Linked DNA regions of Sus scrofa. The protein of the gene in region 2 purifies or fractionates together with the protein of the main gene of each other region. This does not show direct contact. Links are inferred from orthologs where the notes say so. Each region holds a gene or a part of one and is shown on either strand. Other genes may lie near its edges.

The links. Proteins that work in one complex are often made in the same cells at the same time.
Region 1: the proteins of PAK2 (region 2) and GIT2 purify together in Homo sapiens (affinity purification with mass spectrometry; 3 studies listed by BioGRID and IntAct, with this or other methods). This does not show direct contact. The link is inferred for Sus scrofa from reciprocal best matches to the Homo sapiens genes PAK2 and GIT2.

Annotation. Positions count from the first base shown.
Region 1 is NC_010456.5:40,991,186-41,001,454, reverse strand, and holds the start of GIT2 (ARF GTPase-activating protein GIT2), read right to left. Parts: upstream 5,466-10,269; 5' UTR 5,313-5,465; coding exon 5,261-5,312; intron 896-5,260; coding exon 762-895; intron 1-761. UniProt on the Homo sapiens protein: GTPase-activating protein for ADP ribosylation factor family members, including ARF1.
Region 2 is NC_010455.5:133,378,322-133,388,628, forward strand, and holds the start of PAK2 (serine/threonine-protein kinase PAK 2), read right to left. Parts: upstream 5,186-10,307; 5' UTR 4,843-5,185; exon of another isoform or gene 4,614-4,842; intron 1-4,613. UniProt on the Homo sapiens protein: Serine/threonine protein kinase that plays a role in a variety of different signaling pathways including cytoskeleton regulation, cell motility, cell cycle progression, apoptosis or proliferation.

The DNA of each region.
Region 1 (10,269 bases), on a different chromosome or scaffold from region 2:
TTCAAAGCATGACTCCTGACATTACTCCTCGTTTTTTACATTAGCGGAGATATCTGTCACATCAGAGATCCAAGCTCACTTGCTCCGATCCTTTGGTTCATATAGGGAAGTTTAAGGGATGTGTTGTGCAGCTGCCACAGATTCAGTAAAATATGTCCTCAAGACAAATGAAGGCGAAACACATGCTTAAGTCTGAGTTCCAACAGAACTTGAAGAATGTGTACCCCAAAATAGAAGTACAGGTGACATGACAATGGACCCCCAAATAAAACAAAGAGCCCACTTAACACTTAGCAGGGTGTTAGACATTCAATCCAGACATAACTTAATTGTCTCTAACTAGTTATAAGAACTTTAAGAAAACCTAAATCAGATGTTTCAGAAATTTCTGAGGAATCCCAGTCCATGCTTCCATCAAAGCAGGAAACAATGAAAAGTTTCAAAGGGCAGTCACTTTAAGAAACATTGATCATGGTACGTGGAAAAGATGGGCTTTAAAAACAACTTCTGGTGACATTTTAGAAAGTCAGCAATGAAACATAAGCAAGAAATTTTAATGACTGCCTGTAACTGAGTTTTTGGGACAAGATTTACATTAGGAGGGGAAAAAGAATCTTAAATGATGAATTTAATACTTGTATATAGCATTGATAAGCATGGCACTTCTATTCAATTATGATTTAGAAGTATAATTTTAGTTGCTAAAACATTGAGCCCTAAAGATGTAAATTACAAACATGAGAAGAATTCTTATTCTTTACCTGAAGCAATGTTGGAGGCCATGGTGTGTGTTTGAGATGCCTTACTTGAGAGATATGGCGCCCTAGACTCCGATGGACACTGCAGCACTCGTCACATATAAAAGTTCCCCTATTTACTGATGCCCAGGAAGGATCTGGAAAGAAGAATGAAATCAGTGGCAAGGATACCAAGTGGTTGCTATACCGCCAGATGGCAAAAGATGACTGAGATTTGGTTTTTCAGAAAAACAGGACATCTTTGTTGTTTTAGTATGCTAGTCAGCATATCAAGCTGGTGAGCCTGTCTGAAGATAACCCCTGCCTTGGCTGGGGGCACAAATCTACTGAGACTGAAAACCTGATTACAGCCCTAAATAAGCACTTCTCTCCTCTCTGGTTCAAGGCCACAATCTGACACCCTAATATGATCTATCATCACAGATGTGTGCTCTTTCATTCAGTGTAAAAGAAGCAAGTTGAGAGCATTCACATGAATCATTTTGAATCCATCTCCACAAATGGCAAGATAACATACCTGTGTCAGTGACAATCCGCAGAGCGACATGTGAAGAGAGCAGTAAAAAGATGGCTACCCTAACACATGCTACATATCTACCTGCCTCTGGGCTTAGCAGAAAGCTGCAAGCATACATGACTATAAAACTGTTCAACTGCTGTGGTTCTGAAGACAGACTAAGAAACCTAGACTCCTCCGTAAGAAATGTGCTATGATATCCATTAGTAGTTGTAAATAAACTACTGAGTCCGATCTCACAGCTGATCTGAAGTAACAGAAGTTGTAAAAACAGCAGCCTCACAGAGGCAAAGATGTAAAATACAAATGAGTGATTTTTTTTTCTGGCCTCGCTCAAGGCATGCAAATGTTCCCAGGCCAGGGATAGAACCCACACCATAGCAGTGAAAATGCCAGATCTTTAACTTGCTGAGCCACCAGGGACCTCCCTAGAGTAATACTTTTGGTGTGCATATAATACTTTTTTCCTATGAAGTCCTACAGAGCTTCATTAGACATCCTTTGAAACAAGGAATAATTCACACTTGGTAAGCAGTATGAATAATTCACACTGGGGAAGTAAACTAGACACTTAGAAATTCAAAATAAAGACAGACCTTCTACATTTCATCAGACTCACAATGGAGTGACAATAGTTGCCGCTCAAGCTGCCTGGCTTAAGGGTTATATTTAAAAATTCTTCAATGTCCACAAAAATCTCGAAAATGCATGTACACCATCTTTACCATTTTTAACAGTTTATTCAAACCCTTTCTAGCCATAAAATGAAAAGTTATGGGATTTCAATCAAAGACAAATCAGGAGTCAGAGAGTGTAGTGGTTAAGAGGGATGGCTCTGGAGACAAGCAGTCCAGGGTTTGAACCCCAACTCTGCCACTTCTTGCACAATGATCTCAGGCAAGTTATTTCTTTTTGAGAGTCCTCATTATGGATCAAATTGGAGGAACAACACAATCCAGGGTAGTGAGGATATAAAGAACAAGCAAAATTCCTTGCATATAGGAAGTACTCCGTAATGGTAGCTGTTACAACGTTTCTAAATCATTTTGGTAAGTACCATTCAAATATTTTCAAAAGCCAACGAAATTCATGACCATTGGAAAAAGGTTTTGACTGTTAATACTTAAAACACTGACTGTTTCACACAAATACTGTATTACTATAGTGAAAAATCTCAGGGGAATTTTCAGGTAGTTGAACTCACAGAAGGATATGAACTAGATTCATTTTTTTTAAAGGTAAAACTAGTTATTAAGATTTGATCATGGTTATCAAATGTTTGCCATGAAATAAGACAGAAACAAAATTATTCAGTGAGGTACAACTCTGTCTGCCATTCTAAAAAGCAAAGATTGGGGAGTCACTTGTGGCTCAGTGGGTTAAGGATAGGTATTGTCACTGCAGCGGCCTGGGTTGCTGCTGTGGTATAGATTCCATCCCTGGCCCTGGAACTTCCACATGGCACCAGTGCATCCAAAAAAAAGGCAAAGGGTGGAAACATCAAGATGAAGGATCCCTACAAAGATACAGAACAATGCTTTTGTTTGTTTGTTTTGTTTTGTCTTTTTTTAGGGCCACACCCGCAGCAGACGGAGGTTCCCAGGCTAGGGGTCTAATTGCAGCTACAGCTGCTGGCCAATACCACAGCCACAGCAATGCCAGATCTGAGCCTCGTCTTCCACCTACACCACAGCTCTTGGCAACACCAGATCCTTAACCCACTGAGAGAGGCCAGGGATCAAACCTGCAACCTCATGGTTCCTAGTCGGATTCATTTCTGCTGCGCCATGAAGGGAACTCCTAGAACAATGCTTTTTGCAGTATGGTACTACTACTAATGACACACATACAAAAAGACTATTTGTTTTGAAGATTAGCTTTGATTTTCACATATCATTCTGAAGATTCACAATCTCCTTTGGAGGAAATTAAACAGGTACAAAACAGCAAGGATTTAACACACATTAAGAAAGTTTCCCTATTAATCACCTTAACGTCATGAATCAGAATCCCATGTTAACAACACAGTAAAATCCAAACTGAGTTTGTATGCAAGAGGCTGGGTGAACCCCTTCCAGTCTATCTGAACGGTTTATGCTATGGCTTCTTAACCTGGCTTCTAAGAAGACAACAAATGGGCTTCAGAAACGTCTATGATTCCACTGAAAAATCGTAACATAAATTCTCTGTGAAAGAGTAATTATGTGTGCATTTTCTGGCAAGAAGGCCTTAGCATTCATCAGAATCTCAAAGGGGTCCCTAACCCTAAAGGTAACTTTCATAGGGCTTTGCAGAAAAGACAGCACAAATTCCTGGCTGCTCAAGTTCAGAACATTTCAAGGTAGCCTAATTATATTCAAAACAGGAAGGAAGTGACTCAAGTCTCTGTAGATTAGGCATATGAGACAACAACTAAAATGAAACAATGGAAGAGAAAATGTTCTGAAATGCACAAAATGCTGCAGAGGTGCAAGATAGTGTTTAGTGTAGCAAGGGAGCTGCAGTTTTTCCTTTGCCTCATACCACCCACTGAGAAGCACAGAAAATGCATTTCAAGAGGAAGTTTGAATCTAGACTCATAAGAATCAAACATCACAGAAGGTTCAACCGAAAAGAGGCAAGAAAATAAGGAAGTGGAACAAATAACATTTTTAGAGAATACGATGGAGTTTGTATAACACATTAACTTGGTTTCTAAAACACCTCTTTTTAAACTCCTCCACCCGTCTCCCTATCTTCAAAGGAAACCGGTAACCCCACTTACATTATAGAGGCCATGAAATAACCACATAAGGTTTGAATTATCATAGTACTATTTAAAAATCAGTCTCCACTTCCATCTGACAAGACAAAGTTTGGAACAGTCGCAAAAACACTGGTGCGCAATGGTTTCATTAAGATTGTTTACTGGATGCTGTGGTGCCATTTTACCTTTTGAATTACTTCAAATTCAAAGCAGAAAAATACAAGCACTGAGAACAGTACAGAGACCTGTCAACTCAGTTCCAACTGCTAAGACGAAAACTACACATGGGAGGTTTAGTTTTGGCCTTTCAGTGCTGCCATATGCCTATATTGCCTAAATGCCCAAATGGGTCTACTTGTCAGTGATGTGGTGTGTGTTGGTTTTGTAAGCTGTAATTAATGCATGATTTAGAAATTCAACTATAGTTTTAAGGGACTGTAAAGGTTCTGTACACAATAGGGGAAAAAAATTTAAATGAGATGATGCTAAGAATATTCACTGAATCTTCCCTACCGCTAAGCACCATACTCCCCATTATCCCCATCGGAAAAATGAGGAAATGAAGACTCGGCCAAATGAAGTCACCAGCCCAAGGTCACCCAGAGGGAACATCTAGTTTGAACTCAGACGGTTCAGATCTCAGAACCTGAGCCAAGCATTGCCTCCCAAGTGCAGGTGGCGTTTGCAAGACCCCGACATCCTGGAGACTCTCTGCCGTGGAGCGGGAGTCGGGATGCCAGAAATGGCGAAATCGTCCATGGGGGTCCTCTGGCGAGTCTCAGTGGAGGGAAGGGGTGAGCGTCGCCCACTACCAGCAGGGCGCCTCCGGGGACGGGGGTCTTGGGTGACTGTGGGAAGGGGGTGGTGACACCTGCAGTCTCTGGGGGCCGCAGCCGGGAAGACGCTCGCATTTTACTTCTGTAATTGGCCTTCCTGTGGATTGCCCAAGCCCCTTCCTGTTAGGAAAGCGGCTCCGACCCCACCGCCTCCCCGGACGGCCTGGGACAGAGTGAACGAAAGGGAAAGGAGGGGCGGGAGGGCGGCGGCCCCCTGCCCGCCCGGCTCTGACAGGCCAGGGGCAGGTTCTGCCCCAAGACCGCCCCCCTTCCTCCTCGTCGTGACCCCAGGCATGGGATGCAGAGGTCGACTGCCGGGACCCGCCCGGCTCGAGGGGCGGCCCCGGGGCAGGGGTCCTGGCCAGGAGAGCTGAGGGGAGCGGGCCCGGCTGATGAGACTCACCTGGCCCGCTGCAGTCAGCGCACACTTCGCTGCTCCGGAGCCGCTTCGACATGGCTCCCGCCTCCCACCTGCCGGGAACCTGGGGCCCCGAGACAGCGAAGGCGGCGGCGGCGGCGGCGGCGGCGGAGGCGCTTCCGCTCTAACGGGTCCCAGCGGCGGCGCTGGCGGCAGCGCCTCTCCCTGAGCGCCTCGCAGCCGCGGCCCAGCACGCACGCGCGGGGAGGCACCCTTTGGCAATAGGCAGATCATGTGACCGGAAAGGGCACGCTGCCCTGTCGCCATATTGAGTGAGGGCAAGGATCTTCCGTCCTGCTTCCAAATTTTCTGTAATTTGTCTCCCTCTCCAGAAGAAATTCGCTTCTTCCCAGCACTGATTAATACCAAATCTAGTAACCAGAAGTCTGCAGCTGCAACCTGCCTGAGGTAATCAGTAGTCAAGTCATTTCGCATAACTTTGGCCAAGTTCATTTATATATTCTTTCCTTTATTCAGCAAATTACACACAGTGTTCCAAGCAGTGAAGAAAGAGTAGTGAGCCAAGAGGACAAAATTTCCTGTCTTTATGGAGCTAACATTCAATTGTGCTAGATCTACAATAAGTAAAATAAGGGTATATTATGTGTTTCCTTATGCTGCAGTTTTAATATAATCTGCTAGAGGAAGATAATGTGTATCTACCGCTAGCCTACAATTTTCTTTTGTATGGCTTGCACCTAAAAATGATTTTCATAGTTTTATTTTTTTGTTTTTGTTGTGTTTTGGCATGTGGAAGTTTCAGGGCCGGGATGGAACTGGAGCCATAGCAATAATCGAGCCACAGCAGTGACAACTGAGTCCTTAATTGCTCGGCCATCAACTCTTAATTTTTACTTGTTTTGTTGTTTTTTAGGCCATATGGAGGTTCCCAGGTTAGGGGTAAATTGGAGCTACAGCTGTCAGCCTACACCACAGCCATAGCAATGCGGGATCCCAGCTGCACCTGTGACCTACCCACTAGCCCACAGCAACACCAGATCCCGGACCCACTAAGCGAGGCCAGAGATCAGACCTGCATCCTCAGGTTTACTGGTTGGATTCCTTTCCACTGCACGACACAGGGAACTCCTAATTTTTACATTTTTGAAGGATTGTAAAGAGGAAGGAGAAGAGGGAAAGGATGAATATTTAACAAAACTCATATATGAAACGTATAGCTAAATATTTACTGTCTGGCTAAGAACAAATGGAATAATTCACAGAAGAGTGTGGTATGCTTGCCTCAGAGTGAACCCTCATTAATAGTAGCCTCTTGAAGTTCCCGTCGTGGCGCAATGGTTAACGAATCCGACTAGGAACCATGAGGTTGCAGGTTCAGTCCCTGCCCTTGCTCAGTGGGTTCACGATCCGGCGTTGCTGTGAGCTGTGGTGTAGGTTGCAGACTCGGCTCGGATCCCACGTTGCTGTGGCTCTGGCGTAGGCCGGTGGCGCAGCTCCAACTAGACCCCTAGCGTGGGAACCTCCATATGCTGCGGGAGCGGCCCAAGAAATAGCAAAAAGCAAAAAAAAAGTAGCCTCTGTTATTATTGGAATTTGATATTACTATTATTTCTTAATCACAATTTTGAGGATAACGATAGATAACCTAATATACAGGATGGTATGAGATAAACGCAATGAAGTGAGTTTAATCAGTGTGATAGAGAGCAGAGGTGTGACCCTAATGCTAATGAATATTTTGTGTATTATATGTAAACCCAACTATGATCTCCATTCAGCAAATGTTCGATGCCTATCATGGGCCAGGTATTTGTTTTGCTTTGTTTTTTTTAATTTATTTTTATTTATTTATTTTTGCCTTTTTGCCTTTTTCTAGGGCCCCACCCACAGCATATGGAGGTTCCCAAGCTAGGGGTCTAATCAGAGCTGTAGCTGCCAGCCTACACAGCACCTCGGGATCTGAGCCGAGTCTGTGACCTACACCGCAGCTCAAGGCAATGCCAGGTCTTTTTTTTTTTTTTTTTTTTTTTTTTTTGTCTTTTTGTGTTTTCTAGGGCCGCTCCTGTGGCATTTGGAGCTTCCCAGGCTAGGAGTCTAATCGGAGACGTAGCCGCCAGCCTATACCAGAGCTATAGCAACACGGGATCCAAGCTGGGTCTGCGACCTACACCACAGCTCACAGCAACGCTGGATCCTTAACCCACTGAGCAAGGCCAGGGATCAAACCCACAACCTCATGGTTCCTAGTCGGATTCGTTAACCACTGAGCCACATGGGGAACTCCCGGGCCAGGTATTATTTTGACTTTAGGTACTCTGGTGAACAGCCATTGTGAAGTTCTCCAACTAATGAATTAAGAGAGATTAGATAAGCATGAGACAATGAAGAGAAAGATTAAATTGCATAAATCTTCTTAAAGGTTAGGAAGTCCTGAAGGAGATGTCAAAAGCATGGGTCTTTGTTTCATTTCTCCATTTTTATAAATGAGTGGTGTGTGCATTAACATATATTTCCCACACATTCCATAGCTAAAGCCTCTGGATGCCATCCTGATGCTTCTACATCCTGTTTTGCTTCATGTATTCTCAAATCTTCTGGACTCAACACCTGTGGAGAATGGATTAAGCCTGAATTCTTGAACAGCTGTTGTTGTAGGCATCTGAAAAGCTGGCTATTCACAAGCAGGGAAGGCAGAGGATGCTTTCAGAATGCATTAAATAACTTTGCCTAGCTATATGATCTAGTAGACAGCTGTGCAGAAAGTTCAGGCTGGTGAGCAGATGTAAGTTTACTTGGTTCTTCATTGAATCAAGGAGCTACGGAAGTTCCCATCATGGCACAGTGGAAATGAATCTGATCAGGAACCATGAGGTTGTGGGTTTGATCCCTGGCCTCGCCCAGTGGGTTAAGGATCTGGCATTGCCGTGAGCTGTGGTGTAAGTCGAAGATGCGGCTTAGATCCTGTATTGCTGTGGCTGTGGTGTAGGCCTGCAGCTGTAGCTCTGATTTGACCCCTGGCCTGGGAACTTACATTTGCCATGGGTACGGCCCTAAAAAAAAAAGAGAGGCAAGACTATACAATGAAGAAAAGATAGTCTCTTCAATAAATGATGCTAGGAGGAATTCCCACTGTGTTGCAGTGGGCTAAAGATCTGGCATTGTCACTGCAGTGGCTTGGGTCTCTTCTTGGTGCAAGTTCGATCCCTGGCTCAGGAGCTTCCACATGCTGAGGGAGCAGCCGGAAAAAAAAAAAAAAAAAAAAAAAAAAAAAAAAAAAAGAGTGGTGCTAGGAAAACTGGACAGCTACATGTAAAATAATAAAATTAGAACATTCTCTAACGCCATCTACAAAAATAAACTGGGAATTACCTTGTGGTACAGCGGAGTAAGTATCTGGCATTGTCACTGCAGCAGCTCCAGTTGCTGCTGTGGTGTGAGTTTGATCCCTGGTCAGGGAACTTCCACATGCTGTGGGCATGGCAAACACACCCACACACACACAAAAAACGCAAAATGGATTAAAGACCTAAATGTAAGATGTAAGACAAGATAGTATGAAACTCCTAGAGGAAAAATAGACAGGACACTCCGACATAAATTGCAGCAACATTTTTTTGGATCTGTCTCCTAAAGGAAATGAAAGCAAAAATGAACAAATGGGACCTACTTAAACTGAAAAGCTTTTGCACAGTAAAGGAAACAATCAACAGAATGAAAAGACAATCTATTGAACAGGACACATATTTGCAAAAGATATGACTGATAGGGAATTAATATTCAACATGTATAAACATCTCATACAACTGAACATCAAAAAGACCAAACTGATTAAAAAATGGGCAGAACTGAATAGACATTTTTCTAAAGAGGAAATGCAGATGGCCAACAGGCACATGAAAAGATGCTTAGCTTTGTTAATCATCAGGGAAATGCATATCAAAACCATAATGAGATATCACCTCCCACCTGGCAAAATGATTCTCATCAAAAAGAACACAAATAACAAATGGTGAGCATGTGGAGAAGAGGGAACCCTGTACACTGTTGGTGGGAATGTAAATTAGTGTAGCCCCTGTAGAAAACAGTACAGAGCTTTCTCAAAAACTAAAAATAGAACCACCAGGAGTTCCCATCATGGATCAGCAGAAACGAATCTGACTAGTACCCATGAGGACACAGGTTTCATCCCTGGCCTCCTTCAGTTTGTTAAGGATCTGGCGTTGCTGTGGCCGTGGTGTAGGTCACAGAGCAGCTCAGATCTTGCATTACTGTGGCTGTGGTGTAGGCCAGCAGCTGCAGCTCCAATTCAACCCCTAGCCTGGGAACTTCCATATGCTGGGCATGCGGCCCTAAAAAGCAAAACAAACAAACAAAACCCCCAAAACAAAAATAAAACTATCATATGACCAAAAACACTTATTTGAAAAGATGCATGCACCTCAATGTTTATGGCTGCATTACTTACTATTGCTGCGATATGGCAGCACAACCTAAGTGTCTATCAACAGATGAATGGACAAAGATGTCACACACACACACACACACAATGGAATACTACTCAATCATACAAAAGAATAAAATTTTGCTATTCGCAGCAACCTAGATGGACGTGGAGGGCATTATGCTAAGTGAGATAAATCAGAGGCAAACACTCTAATATCACATATGTGGGAGTTCCCATCGTGGCACAGTGGTTAGCGAATCCGACTAGGAACCATGAGGTTGCGGGTTCGGTCCCTGCCCTTGCTCAGTAGGTTCAGGATCCGGCGTTGCCATGAGCTGTGGCGTAGGTTGCAGATGTGGCTCGGATCCCGAGTTGCTGTGGCTCTGGCGTAGGCCAGTGGCTACAGCTCCGATTGGACCCCTAGCCTGGGAATCTCCATATACTGCGAGGGCGGCCCTGAAAAAAAAGGCCAGAAGACAAAAAAAAAAAAAAAAAAAAAAAATCACATATGTGGAATCTAAAAAATACAACAGATTAGTAAATATAACAAAAAAGAAACAGTCTTACAGATATAGAGAACAAACTAATG
Region 2 (10,307 bases):
TTCATTTTTGTCTTTTGTCTTTTTAGGTCCTCACCCATGGCATATGGAGGTTCCCAGGCTAGGGGTCAAATCAGCCTACGACACAGCCACAGCACCACCAGATCCGAGTCGAGTCTGCGACCTATACCACAGCTCATGGAAATGCTGGATCCTTAACTCACTGAGCGGGGCCAGGGATTGAACCTGTGTCCTCATGGTTACTAGTCAGATTCATTTCTGCTGAGCCCTCACAACAGGAACTCCAGCTATCTTATATTTTAAAAACTCTTAACTCACCATGCACACACACACAAATTCCATAAGTATTAAAATTCAAATATAACAATTATTAAAGTACCAGAAGAAAACATAAGATTGTTTGTTTTTTAGCTATGCCTGTAGCATGCAGAATATCCCCAGGCTAGGGATCAAACCAGTGCCATAGCAGAGACCCGAGCCACTGCAGTGACAACTCCTTAACCTGCTGAGCCACATGGAAACTCCCAGAAAACTGTTTTTTTTTTTTTTTTAATAAATGCAAAATGGGAAAGATCTTAAACAGAAAACAAAGGATTAATATCTACTATGTGTAAAGGCCTTCTGCAACGTAATTAAGTATAGATTAGTACAGCCTTTTAGGAAGGAAATTTGGCATCTATCAAAACTTAAAATGCACACTTAAGAATCCCCTTTAAGGGAGTTCCCACTGTGGTGACGGAATGGGTGGCATTTCTGGAGTGCTGGGAAACAGGATGCAGGTTCCATCTCCAGCCCAGCACAGTGGGTTAAGGATTCAGAGTTGTCACAGCTGCAACTTTGACCTAATCCCTGGCCTAGGAACTCCACATGCCACAGGGTGGCCAAAAAAAAAAAAAAAAAAAACACCTCTTCATAGAAATACTTGTATACATATGCATGTGCACAAAGGTATAAGGAAGTTCATTAAAGTTGTGGTTTTAGTAGCTCGAAAATGGAAATAACAAATAACCATGAATAATTAAGTACAACCGTATGATGGATAAGGTAAAAAACAAAAAAAAGATGAGGTATAACTACATATACTGAGATGGAAAAGTATTTATAATGATTAGATTTTTCATTAAAAAAAAACAAGGTAAAACTACAAACACACAGTGCTTATTTCTAATTGCATAAAGAAAACAAAATTGTTATCAGTGGGTACCTGTAAGGAATGGGACTAGAAAGCAAGGAAATTAATTAATTTTCACTTTTTACTCTAAATAACTGACTTGAACATTTTGTAAAAAGCATATATTGACTATTTTTAGAATTTAATTTAAAAATAAGGAAAACAACACTATTCTAGTCTGTGGTTATTTCTGGGGGCTGATTTTTGTATAGTAATTCTGTCCTATTTCTTTCTTTCTTTTTTTTTTTTTTTTTTGCTTTTTAGGGCCACACCTGTGGCATATGGAAGTTCCCAGGCTAGGGGTCGAACTGGAGCTATAGCTGCTGGCCTACACCACAGCCATGCCAGATCCCTGACCCACTGAGCGAGGCCAGTGATGGATGCCGCATCCTCATGGATCCTAGTCAGATTCATTACCGCAAAGCCACGATGGGAACTCCCTTATCCTATTTCTTAATAATTTTCACTATTTGCTAAATTTTCTATGAGAAAGACGTTTATTTTAAAATTTGAGAAACATGTATTCAAAAATCTGTATTTTGAAGTTCCCACAGTGATACAGTGGGTTAAGAACCTGATTGCAGCGGCTCGAGTCACTGCGGAGGCAAGGCTTCAATCCCCGGCCCCAGCACAGTGGGTTAAAGGATGCAGTGATCCCACAGCTGCAGCTTGGATTCAAGCCCTAGCCCAGGTACTTCTATAAGCCACAGATGTGACCATTTAAAAAAATAATAATAATCTGCATTTTATTTCAACAGTGAAACTTTTCTTTTTTTCCTGAAAAGTAATTTTTAATGTAAAAGTTATGGTCTCAGAAACTCGGCCCTGAGATTCCAACCACTTTCAGAAAGCAGTCTTTAAGTTTGGAAGTATGATATTTGCTGTAGAAGCAATTAAATATAAAACCTACTTTAGAATGGAATATTAACTAACATCTATTAAGCATTTAAGCATTGCATTTGCTAAGTACTTTCCCTGCATTATATCATTTGCTTTAAATAGCCCTATGGAGATGTATTATACTGTTATTAATCCTCACTTTACATATTAAAAAAACCCCACACATCTTAAAAAAGATGTGTGTATCTTGCCTGGGGTCAAGCAGAAGAGCCAGGATGGTCTCCAGCTCCTAAGCACTTGTGATACACGGAGCGGTAAGTACTAGTGTACCTTAGAGATAATAGGCTAGGCCTCTGAAATCTGGCCTGAATGTTCAGACCGACTATTCTTATTCAGGTTAGTGATCCTAAAATGAAGAAGCAGTGAGACTCAACTCCGTTCCCAGAAGAAAACAAAATTCTTTAAGGCAACAGGGGCTATTTTCTTCCACCTCTTTCTGTTTCTACCAAGGTACAAGAAGGTTATAAGGGTCAACCCAGATCTGCACCTTAACACCCCCTCTCCCCCCTGCCCCGTGGTCTGCAATTAGCCCTCTAACTGGAAGGCCTTTTGAAAACTGATCAGAACCCCAAATTCTTAAAGACTTGAACAAGGCACAGTTTCACGTTTTTAATCAAAACTAGACAATTCAGAAAGCCAAAAGAAATGTTACACTCAAATATTAGGTTAATCAATATTGACAGATTAAACATGGGGAGAATTTAATACCTACTTATTTTATCCCTAGCTGTCTGAACAAGGTCTCTCTTTTAAAATAATTGAAAGTTTATCCTTAGCCACTTGGACAAGTTCTAAGTTTTCTCTTTAAAAAAGTGTAATTGAGAAGACATATATATCACTGATGACCATGTCTACTGGAAATCTGCTTATCATAGAAATGAGAAAACCAAAGAAACCCCTATTCATTTGTTTTGTGGACAGACTCCTACCACAAACTTACTTTATGAATTTGGGTTTCCCAGGTTAGTACTTAATGTCACAAAGCCCCAAAGAATAACCCTCTCTTTGAATAATGGTAAAGTAAACTAGGAATCAAGGCCCCAACCTAAGGGGAGAACACCCAGAACTCTTCCCAAGTAAAAGTATCTGCTTACAGAAAGAACTGGCAGAGAGGCTGACTTCAATGGACCTTGTTTCACACGCCAGCACTTCCATACCTTAACCCCTTAGGCCAACAAGGCACGTCACTGAAGTAAGGACAACAGACACCACCAATTTGACAATAGTGAAGCTTAGGACTAAGTCGTTTAGGTAACAATAAACTAGTGAAAACACAAAATTCACTGAATTTAGGTCAACCTCCTTCACCAAAACCTGAAAGTGGGGTTTAATACCTCCATATATTACAGGTCAGAAACATCTTAAGGTGCATTTTTCATAACGTAAGTCAGTGTTTTGGGCTAATTAATAACCAGAAAGATTTTAAAGCTAAGGATGAAAGGAGTTGCCTTAAATCAATACCCTTAGCAGAAGAACATGAACAAAGCTTTTCATTCACATGCATATTTTTTAAATACACATATATAAAACATGTAGAAGTTATTATAAGTGTGTTTTATAAATGCCGCAGAGCTTCTGGCAAAGTTGACAAGTTCTAACCTGCTTTAAAAATTACTATTCACTGCCTTCATCACAATCTAACTTTATTTAATGTTATTCTTTTGAGTAACCCTACAAAAACAAACCCCCAGAGCAAATTCTTCTACATTTCAATATCCTGCCTACTTACAAGAGCGGAAGAGTCAAACAGAGGAGGGGAAAAAACGTGACGTGCACAACCTTGATCCAAAACACTGCTCGTCGTAGTCTAATTTTAGGCCTAACCATTTTGATTGTCTTTTAACAGAGCTTTAAAAAGAAAACAAAAAACTATAGATCACTTGTAAGACAAAACTGTGATAATTATACCAATGGGAGTTGGCATTATTCATCAAGGAGGAAAGAAATCACGCTCTCACTGTCCAGAGTGTTTCCATTAAAGATAAGAGACAAGGACGGGTACAACCCCACGACAACTGACAACAATGGCAATTGCTTTCCAATCTTCAGTTCTTGGATGACTCTATCTTTAAAGAATTAGTCAAAAAGTTGAGTCCGCTGAGGAATTTTCGGTACCGTTTTGCATGTGTGTGTTATTTTAAAGAAAGCCAAACATGGTGAAAGCTAACCTTCACCTAAGTTACCTAAGGAAGCAAATATTCATCTCCTGGCTGAAGATCAAAGAATCACGAGAAGATACGAAAGCTCAGTTATCAAGCGGAGGCCCTCAAACCCTCGGAAAACTATAGTTTCTACTGATCCGGAATATGGAAGATATCACAGATTACAGTTTAGAAACCAGTAAGGGGACTACAGACAATATGCCTAAGCAATGAAACTGGGATGACCAAAGGTAGCAAGGTGGGGCTGGAACTCGGTAAGAGACAAAAAATCGAGTTAAAAACCCCGAAACGGTGAGTCGAACACTAAAGTAAATGGAGAAAAAGAGAAGGCTGAAACGCGAGGGAAGGGAGATCGACAGAGAGCAGAGATTGGCGCGACACGGTTCAGGGCAGGGCCGGGTCCAGGAAGAGTCAGAACTCACCAGCCTAGCAAGCTTCCCATTTCAGGCTAAAACCGGAGAAGAAAACAGCCCGAGGGCGCAGACAATGAGCCACCGCCCCAAGAGTTGCCGCTCCAGGCACGCAGGTGGCGGCTTCCCGGCCCCGCGCGGGGCAGGTCAGCTGCCCCGGGCCGCTCGCGCCGGCCAGGCCGCGGAGAAGGAAGGAGGAAGGAGAGCGACGGCCCGCGTCCCGGCCTGTCTGCACACTTACCCCAGGCGAGGAAAGGTCCCCGCCCCAGCGAGGAGCCTCCGGCCGAGCTCCTGGCGGGATCAGGAGCCGCCCCGAGCAAGAGAGCGACGCGGGGCGGGGAGGGGAGGGAAGGGGAAGCGGGGCGGGAAGTGGAGCCGCGCTGGAGCGCCGCGGCTTCTACTGCTAGGCCGGGCGGCCGCCGAGCCCCGCGGGCGCCGGGAGGGGAGGGCAGGGAGCCTTCGGCAATGGCGACGGCCCAGGCCAGAGGGGAAGCGGAACAACCGCTGCCGCTGCGCGTGGCCACAACCCTGGGGGAGGGCGACGGCGGGGAGCGGGCAGGGGCGGGGCCGAAGGCGGGAGCTCCACCGGGCGGAGACAGGCACCGCCTCCCAGTGGGCAGGCAAACGCGGAGGCTGCTGGGAGTTGTAGTTTAGAGATGTGTGCCTCTTATCTCTCTTCTTTTCCTCCCTCCCTCCATCTCTAGTATTCTTTTTATTGACAGAGACAGCCAGTGCCTCGTGTAATTCAGCATTGTCTCCACTCAGGTCTGTGCCAACCAAAGACGCTGAAAGACAACTGTTATTATATGAACCTGCTCTAAGACATTTGTTTCTGGGAATTCATCCGTTACCCATTTTGCCCTTTACCTACAACTCTTATTAATGTATTTTGGTGCTAAATTAAGTCGCGCCTCCTTGCAAATTAATGCCTCTGTTTTATTCATGGAGGAGGAGGAGTTCATCAATGTGTTCACTAATTCTACAAATATTTTGGTGTCTAATTTGTACCAGACACTGCTGGGTATCAGGAATACAAGGGTGAACACAAGTCACTTTGTGTAACTTACAAATATGAAAACACAATAATTAAAATAGTGATACCTGGTATGAAGAAAAAACTAGGATGATTTCTTTGGATAAGTTGGCCAGAGAAGGCATCTTTAAGGAGGTGACATTTAAGCTGAGAACAGAAAGAGACAGCCATGAGAAACTCCCAGGAGAAAGCATTACAAGCAGAAGGAGGTGGGGGGGGACTTTCTAAGGTCAGTTAAGAGGGTCTGTGTAACTGGAGTTAGTGCAAGAAGAGTAGCGCAGTGTGAAAAAACACCTGAGGAGACAAGATTCAGGTCAGAGAGGATCCTGAATGACATGGTAAGAAGGCTGGATTTTATTCCAACAAGCTATTAAAGAGCTGTAAGCAGGGAAGGAAGGTTTCCTGGTTTATACTTTAAGGTCACTAGATTGCTACATGGAGAATGGACTCTGGGTTTTCAAGAATAGAAGGGAATGAAGAAAGGAGGCAGTAATCATGACTGTCATAAGAGATAGCAGTGAAAATGGAGAATGGGTATGTTCTTTTGATAGATGTGAAGCAAAAAACTCAACTGATGTGGAAAGTACGAGAGAAAAGATTCAAGGAGCAATATGGCACACTATTAGATAACTTGAAAAACAGCCCCCACTATTAAAAACACATTGCTGGATAAAAGAGAACATCCTTTCAAAGGCATAACTAAGCTTTTAAGAAAGAGAAGTACCTCTGACAGATTTCCAAACTCCCACTCAACCCAAAGGGAGAGCAAGAAATTGGAGGGGTAAGCATGTCAGTGAAGCCAAAGTTGTGTTGAAAGAAACTACTTATCTCAAATCTCCATGGTTTTACTGACTGCACAAGAGACAAGAGACCAAAGACAAGGCCTTGGCCCTGTTCAAGGAGTTGGGACTGCAATCCTGCACAAGGCTGGAAAACTCAAAGGGCTATATGCTCCAAGAATAGACTGGAAGGGAGTTCCCGTCGTGGCTCAGTGGTTGGCGAATCCGACTAGGAACCATGAGGTTGTGGGATCAATCCGTGGCCTTATTCAGTTGGTTAAGGATCTGGCGTTGCTGTGAGCTGTGGTGTAGGTTGCAGACGCGGCTCGGATCCCGTGTTGCTGTGGCTGTGGCATAGGCCAGCGGCTACAGCTCCAATTTGACCCCTAGCTGAGAACCTCCATATGCCGAGGGAACAGCCCTAGAAAAGTCAAAAAGACAATAAATAAAAATAAATAAATAAATAAGAATAGACTGGAAAAAAAAAAAAATCCCCTGTACCAGTCCAGGGAGACATGCAGATATCTGTGTGTTTTAGTCTGGACTTGGCATCAAAGGGAAAAAAAAAATTACCCTTTGGAATTCAAATTTGAAAGGTCAAATTTACAGTACCTACACTGTCTGGGAAACCTCAAGTCAAGAAAGTGTCCCAGGCTGGTAATGCTGAGAGGTCTGGAAGAAACAAATACAAATTCTCACTGCACAGGCTCATTCTTAATCCAGAACTGAAAGGATTCCCAGAGATAAACAGGCTATCAAGAGTTAGACATAAGGAGTTTCTGCTGTGGCACAGTGAGTTAAAGATCCACCATTGCTACAGCTATGGCATAGGTCACAACTGTGGCTCAGATTTGATCCCTGGCCCAGGAACTTCCGTAATCCATGGGTGTGGCCAAAAAAGAAAAAAAGAAAAAGTTAAACATGAACATCCAAAAAATAATGACAACACATCTGAGAAAATCAGCCATGAGTGAATCAAAAGAAACCATAAACAGAATAATGACACCCATGAACTTTAGATAGTTTATATTCCATAACCTATAATTCCAATGTTTCTTAAAATGATTAAGCAAAGTAAGACAGGAATAAGAAACAAGACATTTTCTTTTTTTTTTCTTTTTATTTATTTTTTTACAAGACACTTTTTTTTAGGGCTAAACCCACGGCATATGGAGGTTCCCAGGCTAGGAGTCAAATCGGAGCTGCAGCTGCTGGCCTACACCACAGCCACAGCAACACCAGATCTGAGCCACATCTGTGACATACACCACAGATCACAGCAACGCTGGATTTAACCCCCTGAGCGAGGCCAGGGATCAAACCTGTGTCCTCATGGATACTAGTCAGATTTGCTTCCGCTGAGCCACAGCAGGAACTCTGAAAGCAAGACACTATTTTTTTAAATGACAAAAGAGCTTTGAAAAGGAGCCAAGCAGAACTTCGAGAAATAAAGAATATAATAACTGAAACCAAGGTCAATGTTTGGGTTAAGTGGCAGATTACATACAGTTGAAGAGAGAATTAGTAAAATGGAAGCTAGATCTAAAGAAATTATTGATAGCAGCCCAGAGACAAAGGAAATATGAAAGAAAGATTGAGAGGTGGGTTAGATTGTGAAGGTATTCCATCATTCCTAATGAGAAACCCAAGTAAGAGAGAAAAGGAAAATCAAAAGAGGTAGTTTATGGTGAGATAATGGCAGAGAATTTTCCAGAATTAATTTAAGGCAAGAACCTTCAGATTCAAAAGGCAAAGTGAATCTCAACCAGGATAAGTGAAGGAAATCTTTTCAAATACAACAAAGTGAAACTGCAGGATACCAAAGATAAAGAAACAAGAAAGAAAAGACATCTCTTACCAGGAAACAACTATTAAATTTAGCATAGATTTCTCAACTGCAACAATGGGTACCATCTGACAATGGAAAAATATTTTTAAACTATCAAGAGAAAATAAACTTAGAACTATATACCTCACTAAACTATCAGTCATAGAAGTGAGGGTGAAATAAAGATATCATCAAACAAAAGCAGAGATGTTACTAACCACAGGGAGTTACTGAAGGGGCATCTATAAAAGATATACTTCAGGAAGACGGTAATCCCAGAAGTAATGTCTGAGGGGCAAGAAATCAGAGAGATGGCTAAACCTACCATCCTATCACTGACTAGGACAATCCTGAAGAGCATACTTACTCTACATTATTTCATTCTCTCAACTTACCCAAATCCTATATTCAATTACCTGCCAGTAGTATGTTTTATAAGTTTGGGGGAGGTCACAGAGAGGTCACCTCACCATAAATTCTTTGATTCCATATCATAGCAATTAGCATCAATCATCAAAATATAAATGAGTGTCATGAAATGAATAGACTATCTGACTAGAATAATCCTTGAATTCATTATATTCTGAAATAATTAGAGCAGAAATATACATTCCCAGTTCCCAAGCCATACATGTACTATCCTCTATTAGATGTAGCTAAATAATCTAAGTTTCTGGTAAATGACTGAGATACACACACACACAACAAAGTCTGCCCCCACCACCACCCTTAGTTGAAGGAGCATATGTCTCTGTTATTTTCATCCAAAGAACATTACATGATACTTTGAGAAAAATAAACCATAAAAGTTGAAAAAAATACTGGAACACAATGACCAGGAAAGAACAGTACCCATTTTTTCTTGGCTATAAACAAAAAGAGACCACACACAGAATTCCAAAACTGATTTTTAAAAACTAAAGTGCTTATTCATTTTTTTTCTTTTTTGGTCATGGTATATGGAGTTTCCAGGCCAGGGATCAGATCTGAGCTGCAATTGCAACCTAAGCCACAGCTTCGGTAATGCCAGATCCTCAACCAACTGTGCCTGGCTGGGTATCGAACCTGCATCTCAGTGCTTCCAAGAAATCGCCAATCTGTTGTGCCACAGTGTGAACTCCAAAAGTGCTTATTCATTTTTTAAGTATCCAAAGAAGATAATATAAAGAGTTCAAAACCAGAAATGTTCTATTATATCAAAAGTGATGTCATCTGCAACCATTTATCAGGCAAGAAAAATCCTATCAAAGTATCTTCACTCACAATGAGATCTTTATTACACTTCTGAATACCTATATAAATGAGTCAATGGCTGAATCATCTGATAATTAGTTTCAAATTAGTTTCAAATACTAATTTGGAAACCTTTAAATACAGATAAAAGCAGGAGTTCCCATCGTGGCTCAGTGGTTGGTAAATCTGACTGGGAACCATGAGGTTTCGGGTTCAATCCTGGCCTTGCTCAGTGGGTTGAGGATCTGGCATTGCCGTGAGCTGTGGTGTAGGTCACAGAGTGGCTCGGATCCCCCGTTGCTGTGGCTGTGGCGTAGGCTGTGGCGTAGCTCCAATTAGACCCCTAGCCTGGGAACCTCCACATGCCTCGGGAGCAGTCCTAGAAAAGGCGAAAAGGCAAAAAGACAAAAAAAAAAAAAAAAAAAAAAAAAAAATACTGATAAAAGTTGGCTTTGATATGCAAAAGAAAATATTTTTTTTTTTTTGGAGTTCTCTGGTGGCCTATCAGTAAGGCCTATCAGTGTTGTCACTGCTGTGGCTTGGCTCACTGACATGGCGTGGATCCCTGGCCTGGGAACTTCCACATGCCATGGGCATGGCCAAAAAATAAAGAGAATAAAGATTTTATGTATATGCACACACATTCTTTTTTTTTTTTTTTTTTTTTTTTGCCTTATACGGCCGAACATGCGGCATATAGAAGTTCCCAGGCTAGGGGTCTAATTGGAGCTGTAGCTGCCAGCCTACACCACAGTCACAGCAATTTGGGATCCAAGCTGCATCTGTGACCTACACCACAGCTCACCACAATGCCAGATCCTTAACCCACTGAG